Linked DNA regions of Oryzias latipes. The protein of the gene in region 2 purifies or fractionates together with the protein of the main gene of each other region. This does not show direct contact. Links are inferred from orthologs where the notes say so. Each region holds a gene or a part of one and is shown on either strand. Other genes may lie near its edges.

What was found.
Region 1: the proteins of rpp14 (region 2) and rpp40 purify together in Homo sapiens (co-immunoprecipitation; 3 studies listed by BioGRID and IntAct, with this or other methods). This does not show direct contact. The link is inferred for Oryzias latipes from reciprocal best matches to the Homo sapiens genes RPP14 and RPP40.
Region 3: the proteins of rpp14 (region 2) and pop5 purify together in Homo sapiens (co-immunoprecipitation; 3 studies listed by BioGRID and IntAct, with this or other methods). This does not show direct contact. The link is inferred for Oryzias latipes from reciprocal best matches to the Homo sapiens genes RPP14 and POP5.

The regions. Positions count from the first base shown.
Region 1 is NC_019875.2:13,399,396-13,406,328, reverse strand, and holds the start of rpp40 (ribonuclease P protein subunit p40), read right to left. Parts: upstream 3,814-6,933; 5' UTR 3,696-3,813; coding exon 3,582-3,695; intron 3,187-3,581; coding exon 3,042-3,186; intron 2,958-3,041; coding exon 2,889-2,957; intron 2,790-2,888; coding exon 2,694-2,789; intron 1,683-2,693; coding exon 1,560-1,682; intron 1,435-1,559; coding exon 1,269-1,434; intron 1,199-1,268; coding exon 1,064-1,198; intron 997-1,063; coding exon 804-996; 3' UTR 1-803. Other genes in the region: riok1 (serine/threonine-protein kinase RIO1), read left to right, coding at 4,001-4,053, 5,081-5,267, 5,436-5,526. UniProt on the Homo sapiens protein: Component of ribonuclease P, a ribonucleoprotein complex that generates mature tRNA molecules by cleaving their 5'-ends. Also a component of the MRP ribonuclease complex, which cleaves pre-rRNA sequences.
Region 2 is NC_019863.2:25,337,307-25,344,121, reverse strand, and holds rpp14 (ribonuclease P protein subunit p14), read left to right. Parts: upstream 1-2,226; 5' UTR 2,227-3,118; intron 3,119-3,614; 5' UTR 3,615-3,833; coding exon 3,834-3,916; intron 3,917-4,007; coding exon 4,008-4,092; intron 4,093-4,803; coding exon 4,804-4,880; intron 4,881-4,976; coding exon 4,977-5,055; intron 5,056-5,203; coding exon 5,204-5,260; 3' UTR 5,261-5,291; coding exon of another isoform or gene 5,292-5,762; 3' UTR 5,763-5,976; downstream 5,977-6,815. Other genes in the region: MAP kinase-activated protein kinase 2, read right to left, coding at 654-920; hydroxyacyl-thioester dehydratase type 2, mitochondrial-like, read left to right, coding at 5,292-5,762; pre-mRNA-splicing factor ISY1 homolog, read right to left, coding at 6,193-6,300. UniProt on the Homo sapiens protein: Component of ribonuclease P, a ribonucleoprotein complex that generates mature tRNA molecules by cleaving their 5'-ends.
Region 3 is NC_019867.2:21,474,770-21,481,147, reverse strand, and holds pop5 (ribonuclease P/MRP protein subunit POP5), read right to left. Parts: upstream 3,560-6,378; 5' UTR 3,430-3,559; coding exon 3,410-3,429; intron 3,324-3,409; coding exon 3,181-3,323; intron 2,682-3,180; coding exon 2,532-2,681; intron 2,426-2,531; coding exon 2,342-2,425; intron 2,163-2,341; coding exon 2,059-2,162; 3' UTR 1,749-2,058; downstream 1-1,748. Other genes in the region: rnf10 (RING finger protein 10), read right to left, coding at 1-102, 1,008-1,161; unc119b (protein unc-119 homolog B), read left to right, coding at 4,009-4,138. UniProt on the Homo sapiens protein: Component of ribonuclease P, a protein complex that generates mature tRNA molecules by cleaving their 5'-ends. Also a component of the MRP ribonuclease complex, which cleaves pre-rRNA sequences.

The DNA.
Region 1 (6,933 bases), on a different chromosome or scaffold from region 2:
CCCAAATCATCAGCAAAGCCAGCTTCTGTCTGCAGCCAACCTGAACGGCACCTGAACCTGAGTCCACAAAGAACTCACCTGACGCTCCCAAACCCTTCGCACATCCCTGTCGGAGAAACAAAATTCAACATGGTAACTGGGAAATGGAATTCAGTGAAGACGATGATGACATTTATTCAAAGAAAATGGCGTCTCGGCGGCACCACCCCATGGCAGGAAATGGCACTGCATCCAAAAGTGCAGTCAGAAAATGACTCAGTTCCAGGGTTCAAAATAAATGAAACTAGTTACCATTGCTGAAAAAAAATTATATACCATTTGCCCACCCATTTTACATGTATAAAACGAAAAAGCTACCTGGAGAGCAGAGTGGATTTGACCCTACACGCCCTCAGACAAATAAGGCAGACACATAACGTTTTAAAGTCGAGAAAACCACCTGATTGCTTACCAAGGCATGCCAGGCGCAGATCTTCCACACATCATTCTCTCAGCCTCTGTGGTTCTGCTGCAGCTCAACTATCCACAAAAGGTGTGTTGACCCGGGTTAGATCCCCTTGCTCTCACTGAAAAGCACTAGTTCTAACAGGGGTTCTGCTTCTGTTCCCAATGTATTGCTGATAAGTAAGTCATGGGTTGAACCAGAACTGCTAGTCCGGAACAAACTAAAGAATTTCAAGACTAAATTAATTGCACACTGGTTCTGATCTGGTGAAGTTCTAACAGGTTGAATAAGCCACAGGTCAGGCCTCCAGCACTGTCTGAGCTCAGTCAATTCTCTTGGTTCTGATGGGTTAGTGGCATCACGGTGGGCAGGCATCGTGTGCGCCGGCAGCCAAGTGAAGGTGGTAGGTGTGGTCGTGGGACATCAGCAGGCTGTAAAAGTTCTCTCCTCCTCGAAGAAATCCATGCTCTCTCCCTCCCCAGGACACGGGGCTGTCCGCGAAACCGTGAACTGTCAGCACCGCCCAGGACTGGACCTGCTCCAGGTGACTCCTGCGAGACAGGCGAGTCACACACCAAGCCCACTCCCACATGCTTTGAATGTGTACCATCAGCTGACCTGAGCTGACCAATGAGGCGCTGGATGTCTTGCGGTAGCAGCATGCCGCTCACACACGCGCTCAGAGCGCAGTTGGTCTGAGTTTTCGGTTCCGGACAGATCAGTGAGGACAGGAAGCTGTTGGACGAGTTCTCACTGAAACCCAGAAATGCACGCATCATGCAACCACGTTGTGTGATGAGCTAACGACGAAAGAACGCCATACCCGCTGACGCCGGACTCCACCGCACCCAACCACTGCAGGAAGCTGTGAGGGTCACATGACTCGGGGACAGGAAAGGACACGTTGGTCAGGCTGCGGAATTTGACCTCAGGTTGGTGCTCTGACCAATCACAGCAAGACAAAAGGGGATGCAAAGAAGCCCCACCCCCTGCAAGACAGAGAAAGACACAGCTTGGTCTCATATGTCTATATGAAGCCCATTGAGACGACTGTTGTTGTGAATTTGGGCTATACAAATTAAATTGAACTGAACTGGAATATGGAGTCACTCACCTGGATGATGTGACAACAGGAAGTCCGTTTGTAGCGGAAGGCGTGACTTCAGACCCTCAAGAAGTCTGAGGTAATTCCGCCTTCCAGGAGCCATGCAGCTGTCCGTTAGGTTCACAGTTACCACTGAAGTTCATACAGGTGCACAGAAAAAGGATCTGCTCACTCATTTCTGTCAGATCCTCATTTTGTTGCTGGTTTCTTCTGTTCTTACATAACATGCGTCTCTATGTACCATAATTTCCAGATTATAAACCGCTACCTTTATCACACGCTTTCAACCCTGCGGCTTATTCAATGATGCGGCTAATTTATGCATTTTTTTCCTTCTTTTTTTAAGGCATTTTTTTCGAACAGCCACTAGGGGGCGCTCGAGCAGAGAGGGTTAGAGTGAGACAGGGGGAATACGGTAAATGTGTCGAGGAAGACACAAGTTTTATGTAAATTCCTGCTTTGTGAATGAATAGCACGAACAGACCCTCATCATTGAAAATGCAAGAATAAATGCATATGACGCAGCTTTCAAGTTAAAAGCAGTGTGAAAAAAATCTACCATCACCAACGGGTTTGGAAAAGCCGGTCTGCTGCGTGACGGAGAGGACAGGGCAAGCTTTTTTAACTTGTCCTGTCTAACAGCTATAAATTAATCATGGAGGCGAAATTAATAATTGTGGTTTGTGCCCGATCGGAATTATATGACACCAAGTCTTTCATATGTCGGAATAGAGCTGGGAAAGAAAAAGCCTGGATAGCTACGTGAGATTTGCACCGCTTAGGGATTTCACACCAAGCCTCTTCCAACTGTAGGTGGCGAAGTAAATAGAACAAGAAAAATAAGAAGAGGCCCCTCCCAGCTTCTCTCGTGTGAATGCCATGCGCTAAACGTGCATTCAAGAATGTGCATCATAAGACCAGTGTGCCAGTAGTTTCAGACTCCAATCAGTCACAGCAGATGATTGGTTTTATGGAATCTAGTTCTGCAACGGGTTTCTTCCTCGTTTTCCACCAATTTCTCCTTCTCCACTGTCCGCTTTTGTTTGCTCAGTACAGGGATTACACAGCAAACCCCTCAGTGCTTTGACACCACCTTCGTTGTGAACTAACGCTTTAGAAATTGTTAAGTTGTGCATAACAAACCAAATCTGCTGCAACGCCTGTGGTTAAACCTTGATGGTTTCCCCTCGAAGCCCAGCAGCTCAAAAGAGTCTTTGTCCAGGGACAGGGTCAAGATACCTGAGGACAGACAGACAAGATCATGTGATCCAAGAACAGATGAAAAGGGTCATTTGACCATGGAGATCCACACAACAAACAGGAAGTGATGCTTTTTACCGTTGGGCATTAGGGAGACACAGTTATCCTCGTCGATGCGAGTCTGGTGGGATAAACCATACACGCTGCCTGCAGCACATAGGAACAGGTGAGTCATGTGACCAGATGAGAGCAGGTCTCAGCTAGGTTTAGTGAAGACGGGCGTTTTGTTACCGTTGTAGATGGCACTCCGCAGGAAGTTCTCATTCAGCAGCTTGTAGATGGGCAGCTTCTTAATCAGGTAAAAACTGTTGAATGACTTCAATGTTTCATCCAGATGGGAGGGGGCGGAGCTACAATCAGGCAGTAGCAGAGACACCTGCACAGGCATAGGAAGCAGTAGATCGTGGCTGTTTCAGTGACAGGTCACAATTTTTAACTAAATTTTCCTGAATTTCGCAAAGACCTGCCAAAATAAAAGACGGAACGGCCAATCAGCAGTCTCTATGATTCAATATTAAACATAGAAGAATATACTTTGATGCTGCCTTCAAGAACTTAACATCACTCCATGCTGCTTTTAAAAGCACTACTTAAGATCATCAGTCTTTGCTGCCTTCAGGGACAGGAGTAGTATCATGTCCCTCGGTGCTGCCTTCAGAAACACGGGAATATATCTCTCAATGTTGCCTTCAAAAACAGTTTGTCAAGAGGATGCATCATTCTGCTTCCTTAAACTAATTCACATGCGGACTTGAATATTTTAATTTTCACCTTGTAGTTAAAATGCATTTGCTCCACCTGTGCGCTGACCCTGTTTTTCTCGTTCTGGAAGCTGGACCGCTCACAGACCAGCAGGTTCCGAGGACATCGGCTCAGGTCCTGCATCCTGATGCAGTTCCTGCACGATCTCAGACACGGGGCCTCGGGAAATGTTCTCACTTTAAAGCATGCAGGAGGCAAGGCAAGAAACCCGGAAGCGAACTGAAACACATGGAGGTTTGGTCAGAACGCAGCACTGCGCAGCCGCAATGGGTTGGCCCCTCTTGTTCGCCGTAGTCACGTGATCAGAGCCGGAAGTTGAAGGAGCAGCACGCTGTTGACTTCTATACCACCCGAACAAGGCGGCCCGGTGAAGGTGGGCTTCTTATCAACCAAATACAGCGGGATTACTTTGCGTGGGCTGTGGGTTCATGGAGGAGGTCACGTGCGTTCCTGGACAGTTTGATGACGCTGAGGTAGACAGGTAAAGGTTTGGTTTGGTTTGGTTTGGTTTGGTTTGGTTTGGTTTGGTTCTCTTTGTCGCTCTGTCTGTGTCGTCAGGAAAAAATCTAGTCCCCATGTCAGAAAAAAGGTCGTATGGGTCCAAGCCCAAACGCTAGTTCTGAGTGGTCCAGTAGTCGATTATCCATGTACTAACATTTCTGATGAATCATTTTGACTGGCTTGTTTAGTTTAGTCAGCACCTGGAAAGGCCAAAACCAGCTCCTCAGTGAGTGTCTAATCCGGGTCAGAACCTAAATCATCCTGCCAAAAAGAAAGAACCGACCCCATGAGCAGAACAGTGTCTTCTGTCAGGTTCACCTGTTACGGCCTGGTTCTGTGATCCCATAAGAAATGACTGCCAAAGCTTTCAGAAGATCCAAAATCCTCAGTGTTTCATGAACAATTGTCTCCTCCTGTGGTTTGGGTCTTGCAAAGACTTTGATTTTTATGGTGCAGGAGGACAGATGATGCCTTCTCTGTTACCATGGTAACCAAATGGGGCAAGTACCTTCTCTCCAGAGGGTCTTCTCCAGGTTTCTGGGCTGTATCTCCTCACAGTTATGCCTATTTGAGTTCAGATGTTATTTTTTGGACTTTTCTAACCATCAAAGCCTCATACCCACTGACAAAACAACATCCATTTGTGGCAGTTTAAGATTTTTAATGCCGTGTAAGCATTAGAAAATGTTGTCACAAGTAGGGAGCCATGTTTGGGACCAACGATAGAGGAACTGAAGAGATTTTAATGTGTTTTTTGACCATAATTGGTATTATTTTGCCTTCAATCCTAATCACAAGATTAGAGCGACGTGCACAAATTTTACCTACACAAATACATGTTTTTGTCCACAAAAGTGATCTGCTCGAGTGTTACTCATGTAGCCTTGTGGCTACATATTTTCAGGTGCAAACACCACCTGAACATATCTTCCCTGTAATTGGCTGAGGGTCTGGACTCTTCCTCCCTGTTGGTTCTTTCTCAGTCTGTCTTTTTCTGTTTCCTGCAGAGACCAATCAGAGCCTTCGTTGCTACCAAGCCTCATCAATGATGTCGCTGCGCAGAGGGTCGACAGTGATGAGGAGGAGGACGAAGTGGATGATGATTATGATGATGAGGATGATGAAGAGGATTGGGCGTACCATTCTGCTGCCAATCTGACCAGCAGATTAAACCGGAGCGGCCTCAACTGCCAGGTTCTGATCCAGATACATTAAAATTTAGTTGCCATGTTAAATGTCAGTTAGGGTATATTGGTTCCTTTTCAGTTAAAGAAGTCACATCACGGTCACGGTTCAGAATTATTTATCAGTGATAATGAGTCTGATCCCACTGCCCTTTTGTTTCTCTGTCACTGTTCTCAGGCAAACAGACAGAACCCGTCGAATAAGATGATCTCGTCCTCGACCCCGTCTGACAAAGCTTTGAGGAAATACGAACACAAAATCAACCTGGGTACACACACGTGCACACTCACATGCATAGACCACAGCTGTGGAGGGTTCTGGTTAGGCCTGCACAATATACCGCAAATTTATCGTTATCGCAATATCCAGCTCTGCAATAGGCATATCGCAAAAGACTGCGAATATCGCAATAAATCGTAAACCCAAAATGTGTTAAAACAATCTTCTAGCAGCTTGAAGCATTTAACGAATCAAATAAATCCCTTTATGCTTTGACCAATCAGATGGACGCCTTCCCATTGTTTACCAATCAGATGGAGGCCTATTATGTTAGATGTTTGTCACCTATGTCAATGAGGGTCATTTGGAGTGTAATTTTAAACTGTTTCTAATCAAATGGGAATGGTGTTTTTGGCATTTTTCTATTTTTTTATATACCGCAAATTATATCGTTATCGCAATATTAATCTCTAATATCGCATATCGCAAGTTTTCCTCATATCGTGCAGCCCTAGTTCTGGTTTTCCTGTCCGACATGGTGTGACCTTAAAAAGTGTCTGCCCCTCTGTGAGGTCAAACAATCTCCAGTAAGAAGATGGCTGATAGTTCTGAATAATCTCCTATGGATGTGTGAAAAAGTATTAGCCCCGCCCTGATTTCCTCTACATGAGAGAAGATGGAGTTTATTTTTAGAGGCAAACACAATTTCATACAAGAAAGTTAACCTACCACTGTTTTTGTTGATGTTTTTGTTTACATTAGCATTTTTATTGAAACACATAAATAGGTTAAAAAACAAGGCAATGATAGATATTATTCTACTATCTTCTTTTCCAGAAAGTCTTAATTCCAGAAAACATTTTGTTCTGCAAAGATTTTTGTTTTGGTCGCATAGTCTGAAGGTCTTTGTTCTAAAAGACCTATGTTCTAAGATTGTCTTCTGGACTAATGGGTTTTCTGTTCTAGAGCTTTTTTGGTTCTTCTGTTCTTTGAGGTCTTCCATTCTTGATGGTCTACTGTTCTAGTCGTTTTGCTGTTTCAGGAGATCCTCGATTTTACTTTGTCTTCCGTTCCTAGAAGGTCTTTTGTTTTGGGAGACATTCTGTTCTTGGAAATTCTTTTTTTTTTATCTTCCATTTTATGAAGTCTGCTGTTCTATTATGGATTTTGTTTTCGAGTGGATTCTAGTTTGATTTTCTGCTCTTGATAATAACTGTTTTAGTCAGTCTTCTGCTCTGGAAGGTTTTGGTTCTAAGATATCTTTTGTTCTAGAATGTCTAGTGTTTTAGAGGGTGTTCTGCTCTACGACGTCTGTTGTTGTTCTGGAATGTCTTCTGTTCTTGAAGATCTAATATTCCAATTCTTTCCAGTTTTTGGTCTGTTCATATTTTTTCCGTATTCAAGGTCTACTTTGTAACCACTCAGAGGCTGCTCTTTTAAAAAGGTCTAATGCTCA
Region 2 (6,815 bases):
GAACTTTAGGAAACTAAATTGTGAATGGATTTGCCATTAATTCTTGTTTACGTATGTGTTTGTACACTTAGTTTGATTATCTTGCAAGAAATACAAGGAATCGTCACCTGCACTGTTCAGAACGCAGGTATTTATGTCTGAGTCTGAATTGTTGGCTAAAGACATCCTGGATAGATTGTAGCTCAGTGAATTGGATCGTTCAAAATGAATCAATCTTGAAAAGTATCGGTAATTCTATACAAATCGAATCGCTGTTGAAATGAAACGCTACACCTCTAATAAATATGTATTAGCAAAGATGACTTTTTTTAAATCACCTTTGAGCTTTAATAAATGCAACACTTTTTGGTTCTTCTGTCCATTCACTTAGTGAATGTCAGTTATCCAAACAAATATTTCTATTATTTCCAAGTACATGTGACACTGAAGTAACTTCCTCATCTGTTTCCTTCTGAGCTGACTGTAATGTTTACTTTGTCATATGGCTGTGTGTTGCTTTAGTCATGCATGCATTTGCAACACCTAAAGAGACTGCATGTGTATGCAATACTATACTATCTATGTAATTACAGCGACAGTCTGCGCTCCGCCGTCCACTGTGTGCGTCAGCTGCTCTCAGAATGGAAAGCTTCAGGACTGTTTTTTTTCACTACCTTCAGCGCGCACTTGACTCCAGTCTTCTTATTGAAGCACTCCAGGACTTTCCCATTGATCCCCAGGCCCAGAACCTGACTGGAGATTTTGTAATCGTCCGTCACTGCGTTGCGTTTTATCTCCAGTTTGGTGTGAACCGGCATGGGGAAGTGTGAGGGCTCGGAGTCCTTGTCGTCCGCCGCGGGACCGGGTGAGTCACCCTTCGTCTCCCCCGTCTCTTCTGGTTGCGGCAGCTTTTCCTCCTTAATATTTCCATTTTGAAGCATGTTCAGCACCTGGGATCTTACAGGGGGAGGTCAATTCTCCAGCAACCCTTCCGGACCAGACCTCTAGCCGCGCCGCATCGGCTCGTCCAGGACTCCAAAGGAAATCTTAGTAAAACTCGCTAAAGTATTTCACATAAAAAAAAAAAACAAGTTTTTCTCTCTTATCGATCAAACCTGAAGTATACGGCTTAAGTAACCTGTCCGGTCAGGAGAGTTCTCCCAAAAAAATCGAAGCGGATCGGTTTACAACAACCGAAAATAAAAGTCCGGTCTGCTGTCTGTGACACTGACAGACCAGCAACTCCGACCTGCAGTTGATCTTGAGTCTCAGTCACTCTCACGTGTTCCTTCAGCTCCTGTCACTGTTTGTTTAAGCCCCACCTTCCTTCCTTTATTCATTCATTCAAGGCGACAGCTTTAAAGGAGCCGGACTCAAACACACTGATCAATTTCTTTTCAGTGGCATTTCATTCATTGCTAGTGATCTGTGGAGGCCAAGAAGTCTCAAATTTAGTTTTTTCAGACTGGTGTAAAAACAAGAAACTTCTAGAAATATCAACTAACTCTCAGAGTATTATTCAAATTGTACTTCAATAAATTCCAGACAATAACACGCATTTTGTATCACTGTTGTGGGAAAAAGGGTTCCTTTGACCCCTTGACATGACACAAATTTTTACTTTGTTGGCATTTTGTGGCCACAAACTAGGTTCTACAAATTAATATTCTGTAGCCATAAATTTTTAAGGAATTAATCACACCAAAGTAGTAATTTGTGTGCACAAAATGCTCACTTGAGGCGACAAAATGTTACAATTTCAAAACAAAAAGTTAATCTGTGCCCACAAATTGTCAATAAAATACCAATTTGTTGTCAATAAAATACCAATTTGTGGCAACAAAATACAAATTAGTGCACACAAAATTACAATTTGTGGTCAAAAAGTATTGTTCTTAGGGAACAATCTACTCATTAACTTTGAATGTCATGTCCAGGGCTCTGTACTTTGACTTTTTTTTTTGGGGTATATTAGTTTGGCATGAGTTTTTATTTGCATCCTGCAGTGCACCAGTCATTAATATGTGTAAACAAGACAAATAAAAACTTTTTGGGACTAAAGTGGCATTTATTATTTTGATTGCATTGGTTGGCTAATGCTGTAGAAGCATCTCTCCCTGAAATTGCTTCTGTGGTGCTACACAAATCAGCGTACTCTGCCTTTTATTAAAAAAGGGTGGTGGTGGGGGGGGGGGGGTGATATTTTTTATTGGATGTTTCTTTTTATGTTGTGTGTGGATGAGACAATCATAAAACTTTTATGAAGGAATTAGGGAACAGTACTGGCTTAACAATACAGAGAAAATTATTTGATAATAGACATTCATGTTATAGCAACAAGTAACAAGAGAAAAAGCAAGTTTGATATGCACTCGATCTAGCCTACTCCTTCCATTCTCTGCTAGTAAAACTATGTTTAAAATGTTTAAAATATTAACTTGGAATATACTTTTTAGCAACTTCTAAAGGTTCAGTAATTTCCTTTAAGTTGGCACTCAGCACATTTACAAAAAAACAAAAAAGAAAAAGAATTCACCCAAGGACAGGGAAAGTTTCCCTGCAGCTGCTCTGACCGTGGAACTGTTATCCTCAGATGACAATGAAGAAATCTTTGAACCTGTTCATGCCCATGAAAAGAATGTTTGCTTTTAACAATGTTAAATGTAATTCTTACATTTTTTGCACAACATTCTTTGAGACTCCACCATTTATCATACATGTGCAAAATTTGTAGTTAATCTTCAAACCTTTTGCATGATCATTGGATGATATTTATTTGTATACCTGCATTACATTTTTTTACAGAAACGACTTGAAATGATCAGTTTTATTTGTTTTAATAACACTCTTTCTTGTAAAAATCTAAAGTATTGTTCTTTAACGCTGGTAACCCAATAACCTATATAGTTTTTATTTATTTTGTTTTTATTTGTTCAACTTTTCTTGTTTTATTCGTCTGTTATATTTACCTGGATGTTTTTAGTCCTTTTGTTTTGTATCCTGTAGTAGTGAAATAAAGTTTTAGGAAGAAAAAAATCATTTCCGCTGGAGTTGCGCACGCGCATTGCTGAGGTTTTCATGGCGGCGCCCGTCGAAGGAAAACATGCAACTGTGACTTCAAACTGGTAAAACTGTGGTGGTGAGTGCAACGTATTATATTAAGTATACACATATTGAAATCCGGGCAGTTATTGTCCGTATCTTGGGAGAATTAACATCTTACAACGTAGGTGCTAACTTTAATTTGAGTTGGCTAGTAAATATTTCGCTTTCCTGGTGGTTGGTGGTTCGACCTTGGCTTTTTTGTTTTTCAATTTTCGTTTTGATTTAACACTTAAATCTTTTGTTTTTTTGTGGAACAATTCTGAACAATAAAAGATTTGGATATTTAAACGTTTGCAAAAATCCAGATAGGAAGCTGAACAACAAACAAAAACTAGCTTAAACGGCGAAATTGTAAAACATCAATAAAAAATAAAACACACCAAGAGAGAGAAGTTAAAGGAAAATACTACAAATGTACCACAATTTACAAAATTTTAAGATTTAATTTTGTGCTCTATCATTTCTGACACCATTTGGAAAGATTTTCTGTGTCAGGGTTGTTTACCTCCAGGCCTCCTGCTGATTATCAGGTTGAGGTGTTTTTCCAACAAGAAGAAGCTGAAAGAGCAGAAACACAAGCGTGACATCGACCGCGTGAGGACTGCAGTCTGAGACCTGTGTTGCAAATCATTCAGAAGGACACACGCACATCAGTAATCTCTGCTTAAAACAGCATGTTGGTTCTTCGGGAAACAGATTTTTGTGGTTTATTTGTTTCAGTTTGACGGAGTCACTGATGTTTCACTAAAATGAAAGCTATCAACAAAGAGGAGACTTTTCACCGTGTCGTGTTGAAGAACGCTTCACCGCACCACTACATGAAAGTCCACCTGTGAGTCTCTGTTCAAGATTAATGTTCTGTCTTTAGTGTCTGCCCAGCTCTTAGAAGGGAACTTCATCTGTATGTTACCACTTGTGTTTAGTGAACTGGAGGATAACTCAAACAGATTGAGTGCAGTAGAGCTGAAACACTTCATCATCGCAGGCCTGAAGAATCTTCATGGAGAGGTGAGATTGTGCACTGAAAAAGAAGAACTCAATTCAAAAATAAGAGCTGTCAGCGCAATGAAGCGCTGAATACCATTATGAATGCATTTCCATTGAAGACCCCTTTAGATGAAAATGGTCTTTTAAACATGTTCTTGGGGCATTTTTCTGATGATGGAGGACATATAATAAGAACATTAATCTAAAAATCGCATTTCAAAGTATGTGTTCAAATAGTTGGGAATCAGAAGCAGACGAAATAAAATGCAGTTTAAAAAAAGGTTGTATTTTTACGTAGAAATTACAATTGGCAGGCCGCATGCCCCCTGCTCCACTCCATTCTGATGCATCCACACACAGTCGAATAGATCCGTGTATGTCTTTGTTTTCCTCGTCCGAGCTGGTATTTGGCTCAAAACTGTACGTCTGGAAAGCTCCAATATTGCTCTCCATTTTTGTTGCACCTTTAATGTTAGGCTGGGGTTGTGAGAGGCTGTAAGCTAGTGGGAGAGTGTTTAAACAGAAGGATGATGGTAGGTTTACTCCATGCCAACAGTCCCACCTGCAACTCTGAGAATTCTAACGAAGTTTTGCTGCTCTGCAGAAATTATGTCCTAGAAAGCAACACAGATTTTTTCACTTTGGCTGGAAAAATCAACGACTGCACTATCACAATGAAAAGTCAACTGGAAACGCTTTTATAATGCTGCTGTTTGCATAAATGTACCTCAGGTTGGAGCAGCGTTGAACTTTGATGTGTTGAAGTATGATGAAGGAAGTCTGACGGCTCTTCTGCGTGTTCACAGCAGGTCAGCCTAAAGGCATAATTGTCAGAATTTCTAATTCACATTTCAAAGTTTGTGAATGTTGTGTTAATTATGCTCTTTTCTCCCCCCCCCCCCCAGTGGTTTAGTGAAACTGTGGAGCTCCCTGACTCTGCTCGGCTCTTATCAGAACCAGAGCTGCGCCTTCAGGGTGCTGCAGGTCAGGAAACATGTTTTCTACATTTGGTGATTGTGAAATAAACCATTTTGTCAGTGGAGCGATCAAATTACTGTTGGTTTTAACTCAAAATGAGAAATCTGCTTACCTGCTATTCAGATGTAAATAAAACTCCCCACTTTGCTCTCAGGTGTCTCCGTTCCTGTTGGCGCTGACAGGAAACAGTCGTGAGCTGCAGCTCCACTGAAGCGGGAGCTGCTTCTGGTTTGAGTGCAGCCATGTGGAGAAACATCATCAAACTCGGTTTGTCTTCTGTCGCGGCGGCTCGTCCTCACAACCGGCTGCTCCACGTCGGACAGCGAGCTTCCCTCACCAAAACGTTCTCCTTTCGCCACGTCGAGCTATTCGCCGAGCTCACAGGCGACACCAACCCGCTGCATGTGGACCCAGCATACGCCAGCACCACCTCCTTTGAGACGCCCATTGTGCACGGCGTCCTCATCAACGGGCTGATCTCGGCCGTGCTCGGCACCAAGATGCCCGGCCCCGGCTGCGTCTTCCTGCACCAGGAGATCCGCTTCCTGGCACCACTTTACGTTGGAGAGGAGGTGCTGGCAGAAGCAGAGGTGTTCAAAATCAAGATGTCGTTCGCCTTCATCTCTGTGAGGTGCTCTGCTAAGGACAAAGTGGTGATGGAGGGGGAGGTCATGGTGATGATGCCTGTGGAGCAACAGCATCAGGGAAAGTGACTGGAGGACATCCAGATGCAGCAGATTTTGGTTTCAAGTTTGGTTTTAAATGAGGTCTAAAGACGCGTGTCAGTCGTCTAGCTGAATTTTTGTTTTTCTTCATTAGAAAAAGTTATTTTTCTAACTTTTCAAGTTTGATCACATTTTAGAATTTGTAATTACACCTCAGCATGCTCTTTGTCTTTTGGTGATTAAAGTTATTGTATAAAAATAACAGGTTAAGTGTTTGTATTGTTCAGGTTTAAAAGTCCCCGAAGTTTCTGCTGCTCAGAGTATCCATGCAGCAGAAATGATGGTTGGAAACAGGATTGTCTGTCAGGAGATGATGGGGTTCGATTGAAGACTCGCACAAACAAGTTTGTAAAAATAGCAAAGAAGAAGCTTTATTGAGAGCGGAGCAGCAAAGTGGGACACACAAGTAGAACAATGATCAGAGACCCAACAGGGCTCTGGCCTCCTGACTCTGAGCCTGAAGAGTCTCACTGGCGTAACGCTGCAGCAGCTCCATCTTTTTCCTCCTTACCAGAGCTTCCTCCACCTGGGGCAGAAACAAATGTTATGGATGTAGACCATCATATTCTTATGCAACAGCAATATAAAACCCCATTGGAAGTTCCTTACTCTGATGGAGTGAATGATTAAAAAAAAAGAAAAAAGTATGGTACTCTTAGTTATAATTCAATCTTTTGCTTCTCAATCAGCAGCCTTTCACTCTCACCCAATCGGCAAATCAGCCAATCAGATGAATGATAACCAAAAAAAGAGCTTGTGTTCTTCACCCAACACGAAGGAGATGACAAAATAGTGAATGATACCCGGAATACAGGAAGTGATTTATTTTATTACAACTACAAAAAAAATAAAGAGATTTTCTTAGGTTCAGGAAATTCTGATGTATCCACGTATCTCTTGTTCGAACTGTTTAACAGTTCGATTGATAGCGTGAGGTGTGGACTTCCAACACGCTCACTCCTAATTGGCGAGAGTGGTTGCCATAGAAACATTGATTCATACGGGCTCACTACTGGCTACTACAGTCTGCCTCCAACAAGA
Region 3 (6,378 bases), on a different chromosome or scaffold from region 2:
TCTGTGTATTGGTGCGACGAGGACCAGGAAAACTTTCTGCTTTAGGAAAGGGGGGCTCACGCTTACGACTGAAACGTTTCGACCCTCCATTATTTTTACCATCTGAAATTTAGATTAAAAGATAAAAAAATTGTTTAATAAAAGCTTCAATATGCTTTTTAAAAAGTTTTGTTTTTATAAACAGGGGTATAACGCATAATCAACTAAATCAACCATTATATTTCTATGATTCAATTTTAGGTCAGAGAATCGGACTGTATTAAATATGAGTTCAAAATGAGCAAATAACGACTATGAATCCCATCGTCAAGCACAAATTATTATAGGAGTTGAATAGTTAAAATTAAAATCTAATCGTGTGCTTTATTTGATTAAACAAAGAGCTTCTGATTAGAATCATGGCAATAAGTAATGTTCTTAAAAGTTCTGTTATTTTCCCTAATCATAAATAAACTTGAAAGTAAAGAAAGAATGCCTTTGATATATATAGTTTAATCTGAAACTCATTATCTCAAGACTGTATATTAGAGATCGTTATTGTCCTTGTAATTTGTCACTTGACAAAGAAACGTTAATAAGCATTACAAATTAATCTCAGTAACTTTAATTCTGAAAGTTCATAATCAGTAAGAATTTCTGTTATTTTAAAAACCAACTTAATAGAAGTTCTGATTGAAAATAAGTTCTAAAACTTTTATCGGCTTCAGAAGTTTATTAAATGTAACTATTAATGTAATGTAACTAACTTTTAATTGTAACTATTTCCAGAGCAAGTCACTTATGGGTGACGCATCTAAAATTGGATAAAGATCATGGAAGTCAATTGCTTGAAAGAGCAGATGCCAGCTGCAGCTCCAAGAGCTGATAGGTCAAATGGTTTGGGAGTGACGTCACTTGCTGATAAACAACTTGTGCAGTACAGCTAGGCCCCAAAAGGCCACAATGCGGAGCTTATACGCTCACAGCGCCTCGTGCATGTAGCGAAGTGTTCAGAATAAAGACTTTACCGGTTTTGGGTTTAGATTCGCCCGGTGTGGGACCCGCAGAAGTCCAACGGGGCGGAACCTTGGTACTGTTGGGGTTTTTCTCCATGTTTTTCTCCGTGCAGTGAGCTGTGTTGAGGCAGAGCTCCGTGAAGAGAGCCGCTGAGCTCTCTAGCATCAAAAACGGAAAATGGGTTGCAGTGAGCGTAAGTAAGGCGACGACGGCCCTGGTTCATTTCTGTCAAACGCGGAGACCCCATCACGGCGACATCTTGACTATAAACAAACCAGAGGGGAAAAAATAGAGACACGATTTTGGCGTCTCAAGTTACGCGCTGTCAAAGGAAAGAACGAAAGTTCGCCACGCGAGGCCAACCCCTCCCGAACCTAACAGAGTTCGCTTGTAAAGGAATAATAGTTGGCCTTAACAGAGCGTTAAGTGTCTTCCACAAAGTGGAAAACGCGCTATTTGAAAGATTTAGCCAGAAATCTGTATCGAAAATCCAAGGCGTGCTGTAATGGCGACGGGTCGCCAGACAAGAACCCGAGAGCCCCGGATGTTTCTTGTACCGTGTCCCAAACAGCAGGGCAGTATGGGAGATGTAGTAAAATTATTAATTTAGCACAACTTAACTTTAGGTCAAATATTATAAATATAATAGACAATATTAATCTTTAAAACACAAAAATGACATTGACAAGACGTTTGAAACATTTGGTTTTTCATTAAAGATAAAAGACACATCAACACAGTCAAACTCATCAAAATGTTATCAAACTTTTATTTGTCCTTATTACAAGTACTGCAATACCCTTCCGTAAGTACAACTTTGTTAAAAACAAAACAAAGGAATATTTACATTATTCCGTTGCCCAAACAAAAACTATTTTGAAACAAAGTATATAGAAATGCGAGCCTTTTGGTTTGACCCTAAAATATGAATAATACCACATGCAACAAAACATTAAATCCAAATTATTATCTGCTAATTCAACATTTCTGCTGTTTTTCAAAATAGGAGTGTGTAAGCCAATTGGTGAAGAGGGGGCACTATCCACCAGGTATCCACTTTGATCACTCTCTTTCATCTTCAAACTCAGATCCACCCTCGTATGTTGGTTTGCTTCCACGTGTTGGAAGGCAATTAAGAATTTCTTGACAAACTTGATCTTTTTCTGCTGCGAAATAAAAAATACATTAAGAAACATTTGAATAGTTTTCTTTTTACTTAACTAAATCAATACTAAACCAATTCCAAAATTTGATTCCAAATTAATTACTAAGAATTTTAGTTAGTAATGCTGAAAAATGTGAAAAAGGATTCAGCATGAAGGTCTTTATTCAGCTTAATTGTTACCTGCATTTTTACATTTAGGGAGAATTCGTTGGAGCTGCTGGGTGTTGTAGCGGATTAAAAATTTCTGACATGTTCTAATTGTTCCTGAAAAAGATCAGAAAAACAAAAGTGAATTAGAAAGGCTTTTATTTACAACTCATGGTAACACATGCAAGTAAGGTTCCTTCTAAGCAGAGCATGCATGTCCTACCTCCTACATGCAAACAGTTCAGAAAACATGGGATTTGTTGCCCTCGACTTTCAATATTGGTGATGAAAGGTAATGCAGACCAGAGGAGTTGGTAACAGCTTTTAGGGAAACGTAGAAACACCATTCCATTGTGAACATTTAGGTATTTCACTATAAAAAAGGACATACAGAAAAGGTAAAGAAACAAGTGTCTTAACATTTGTTCCAAACAATGTTATAGTTAAATGGATTCACAACATACTTCTATCTTTTTTGTGTATGCTGAAGTAAAGATGGATGCAGACATTTAAAAAAGGAAAATTTAAATAAAAAGGTGCATGAAGAGAAAAAAATGAAACTATAACACAAAGAAAAACTTGTCAGAAATTAGGAGTTAAAAATTTTATTTAATAAGCACTCATTTAATTAAAAAAACGCATTTCATGTATTTTTTTTTAAAAAGTATTTGAAATCTTTACATTGTATGAATTAATGTAACAGTTTACACTGTCTAACAGATTCATTTCTTGGTGTAATGTTTATTTCAGTATTGCTGCTATATTTTGTATTTAAATATTTTTCTTATTTTTGTAGTTTTAATCTTTAATATTTCCTTACTCAAGAAATGAGAAAACAAAAAAAAATGCACAAATCTTGCGCAAATACTCACCAGATAATCGTATACTACAGAGTGCCGCCCCGTAGTCACCGTGCATGCGGGCCACCGCTGATCTCACTGCCCCTGCAACAGCACGGTCATCCAGAAGCAACAGGTCCCTGCTCTCCGAAACATTAACCTCGCACAGCAAATATCTGATGATAATGGGAACACGTTTAGTGAATAATAACCTACAATAACAAAAAATATGGAATAAAGTCTTTAAAGGAGCACGTTTTACCTCGACTTCACCCGCACCATGGCTTCTTCTGCGATGCCGTTCAGAGTATTTCCGTCAACAGATCCGGGTCCTTCGGCTAGCACCGCCCTGTGGGTATGGCTGGGATTCTAGGTGCACTTGGCTTATGACACGGGGCAACACGGAAGTACGTCTCCCAACCAAATGACAATTTAGGAATCCTAATAGGAGATAAAGTTGTTTCACAAACGTAGGAAATGACAAAGAAAAGAAATAACAAGGAAAAAAAGACAAAAATTAACTGCTATAATTAAAAATAAAGTAAAACTTTGACCGTTTAACTCACAACACACGCTCAAAGAAAACGGGGAAACTCGAAAAATAAATTATTCAGACCCTTTTGGTAACCATGACAACGACAGTCGCTTTCAACCAATCAAACTCTTTTTGTGAGATCTTTCACGCCATCTTGAATCTACACTCACCGTTTTTCTTAAGAAGAGAAAAACTGTTTTTATACTTATGGTTTCTGGGATATGAACGTTTCTCGAAATAAGCCCTTACAGGTGACCAGAAAAGGAGGTAGGGAAGCAGACGACGGTTTGGAGACGAAGCAGGAAGATTGAAAAAGTGGTGGAGGCATGCTGAAAAAGCTGAAGTCGAGGCGCAGCCAAACGGAGAAGTGGCCTGTGGTCACGGAGGATGAACTCCGGGCACTGGGGAAAGAAATTTCCCCGGACCATGTGCTGGGTCTTCGGACTGTCACTAAAGGTATTGTTGGTGTTGGAGAATGTTTATTATTATTATTATTGTTATAAATAAAATCCATGTAGTTGCTCTGTTCAATTGAGACAAAGAATGCAGGGCTAAATAAAGTTAATGTTAATCTTTAAACTATTTTAAACATTTCAATACAACAATGCCAACCAAAAAGACAGATTAAGGTAAATCAATAAAATAGACAGTACATGAGTCAAAACCTTTTCTTTTCCTTTTTCTAAATAGCAACAACTTTAATTCTGAAAGTTCATTATCAGGAAGCATTTCCTGTTATTTAAAAACCAACATATTAGTTGCCCGATTAAAAAGAAGCTCAAAAACTGATATATCTGCTTCAGAAGTTAGTGAAAATATGAAACTTTTATTTTCAGACTGTCAAACGAATCCAACACACAAAGAAAAATCCGATTTCAACGACAAAACAATATTTTTAATGTATTTATTTCATTTGAAATTGAAATAGCCACAGCTCCCCGGCCACTTCCTTCACCACCTCTGCAGGGACCCGAGACGTTCCCAGGACAGCCGAGAGATGTAATCTCTCCAGCGTGTCCTGGGTCTTCCTTGGGGCCTCCGCCTCGTGAGAAATGCCCGGAAACCCCCCCCAGGGAGGCGTCCAGTAGGCATCGGACCAGATGCCCGAGCCATCTCAACTGGCTCCTCTCAACTGTGGAGGAGCAGAGACTACTCCAAGCTCTCTGCGGGTGACCAAGCTTCTCATATAGGGGGTTCTGAAGCACCCAGCCACCCTATGGAGGAAGCTAATTTCAGCCACTTGTACACGTTGTTCCTTCGGTCATGACCCAGAGCTCATGACCAAATTATTCCAAAGTATTGGAACGAAGATCGACCATTAAGATGGACCGCTTTGCTTTCTGCCTAAGCTCTCTCTCCACAATGGACCAGTACAGCTACCGCATAATGGCGGACGCCGCTCCAATCCACCTGTCAATTTCATGCTCCTTTCTCCCTCATTCGTGAACAAGACCCCAAGATAAATAAACTCCTCCACCAGGGGCAGGGGCATTCCACCCACCCAGAAAAGGCAAACTACCTATCTCCAGTCAAGAACCATGGCTTCAAATTTGGCGGGACTGACCCTCATCCCAGTCGCTTCACACTTGGCCGCAAACTGCCCCAATGCATGCTGGAGGTCCTGGCTTGATAAAGCCAACAGGATAACATAATCTGCAAAGAAAGTAGAGGAAATCCTGTGGTCCTCAAACCAGATCCTCTTCTCCCCATGGCTGTGCCTAGATATTCTGTCCATAAAGACTATGAACAGAACCGGTGATAAAGAGCAGCCCTGCACCGGGAACAGATTCAACTTACAGCCGGCTATACGAACCAAGCTTCTCTCCTAGACCAGAAAGCCCTCAGTAAGGCTCCCCGGACCCCAGATTCCCAGAGCACCCTCTTTAGGACACCACGAGGGACGCTGTTGAACGCCTTCTCCAAATCCACAAAACACCTGGACTGGATGAGTGAACTCCCACGAACCCACCAACACTCTGGTGGGTTTGTGGGAGTTCGCAAAGTTGATCATTGACCTCCTGACTAGAGTGTCCTGATGCCACATGTTCAAACATATAGTTTGTTATAGACAAACTGTGATGAGCACAGCAGTCCATCAACAAAACACCGTTCAGGTTCAGATCAGGGAGGCCATTCCTACCAATCATGCGGCTCCAGGTGCCGCTGTCATTGCCCACCGGGGCATTGAAGTCCCCCAGGAGGACAAGGAAGTCCCTTGTAGCGGCACTTCCCAGTACCCCATCGAGAGACAACAAGAAGGCCGGGAACTCCAAACTGGTGTTCCGCCTGTAGGCTGAAACCACAGCCAGAGACTTGTCCCCCTACCCTAAGAAGGACCATGACCCTCACGTCCTCCGGGGTAAACTCCACCACTTGGCGGCTGAGCTGAGGGCTCATGAGTAAGCCCACACCAGCCTGCCGCCTCTCACCATGAGCAACTGCAGATTGGTAGAGTCCAACCCCGTTCGAGGGACTGATTTTCAGAGCCAAGACTGTGCATGGAGGTGAGCCTAACTATATCTAGCTGGTACCTCTCAACCTCCCACACAAGCTCAGGTTCCTTCCCTCCCAGAGAGGTGATGTTCCATGTCCCAAAAGCCCAGTGCCATGACCAGTGTTTGGGCTGCCGAGGCACCCACCTTCGACTGCCACCCAAAGCACATTTGGCCCCTTCGGAGCGCTCCTACAAGTGGTGG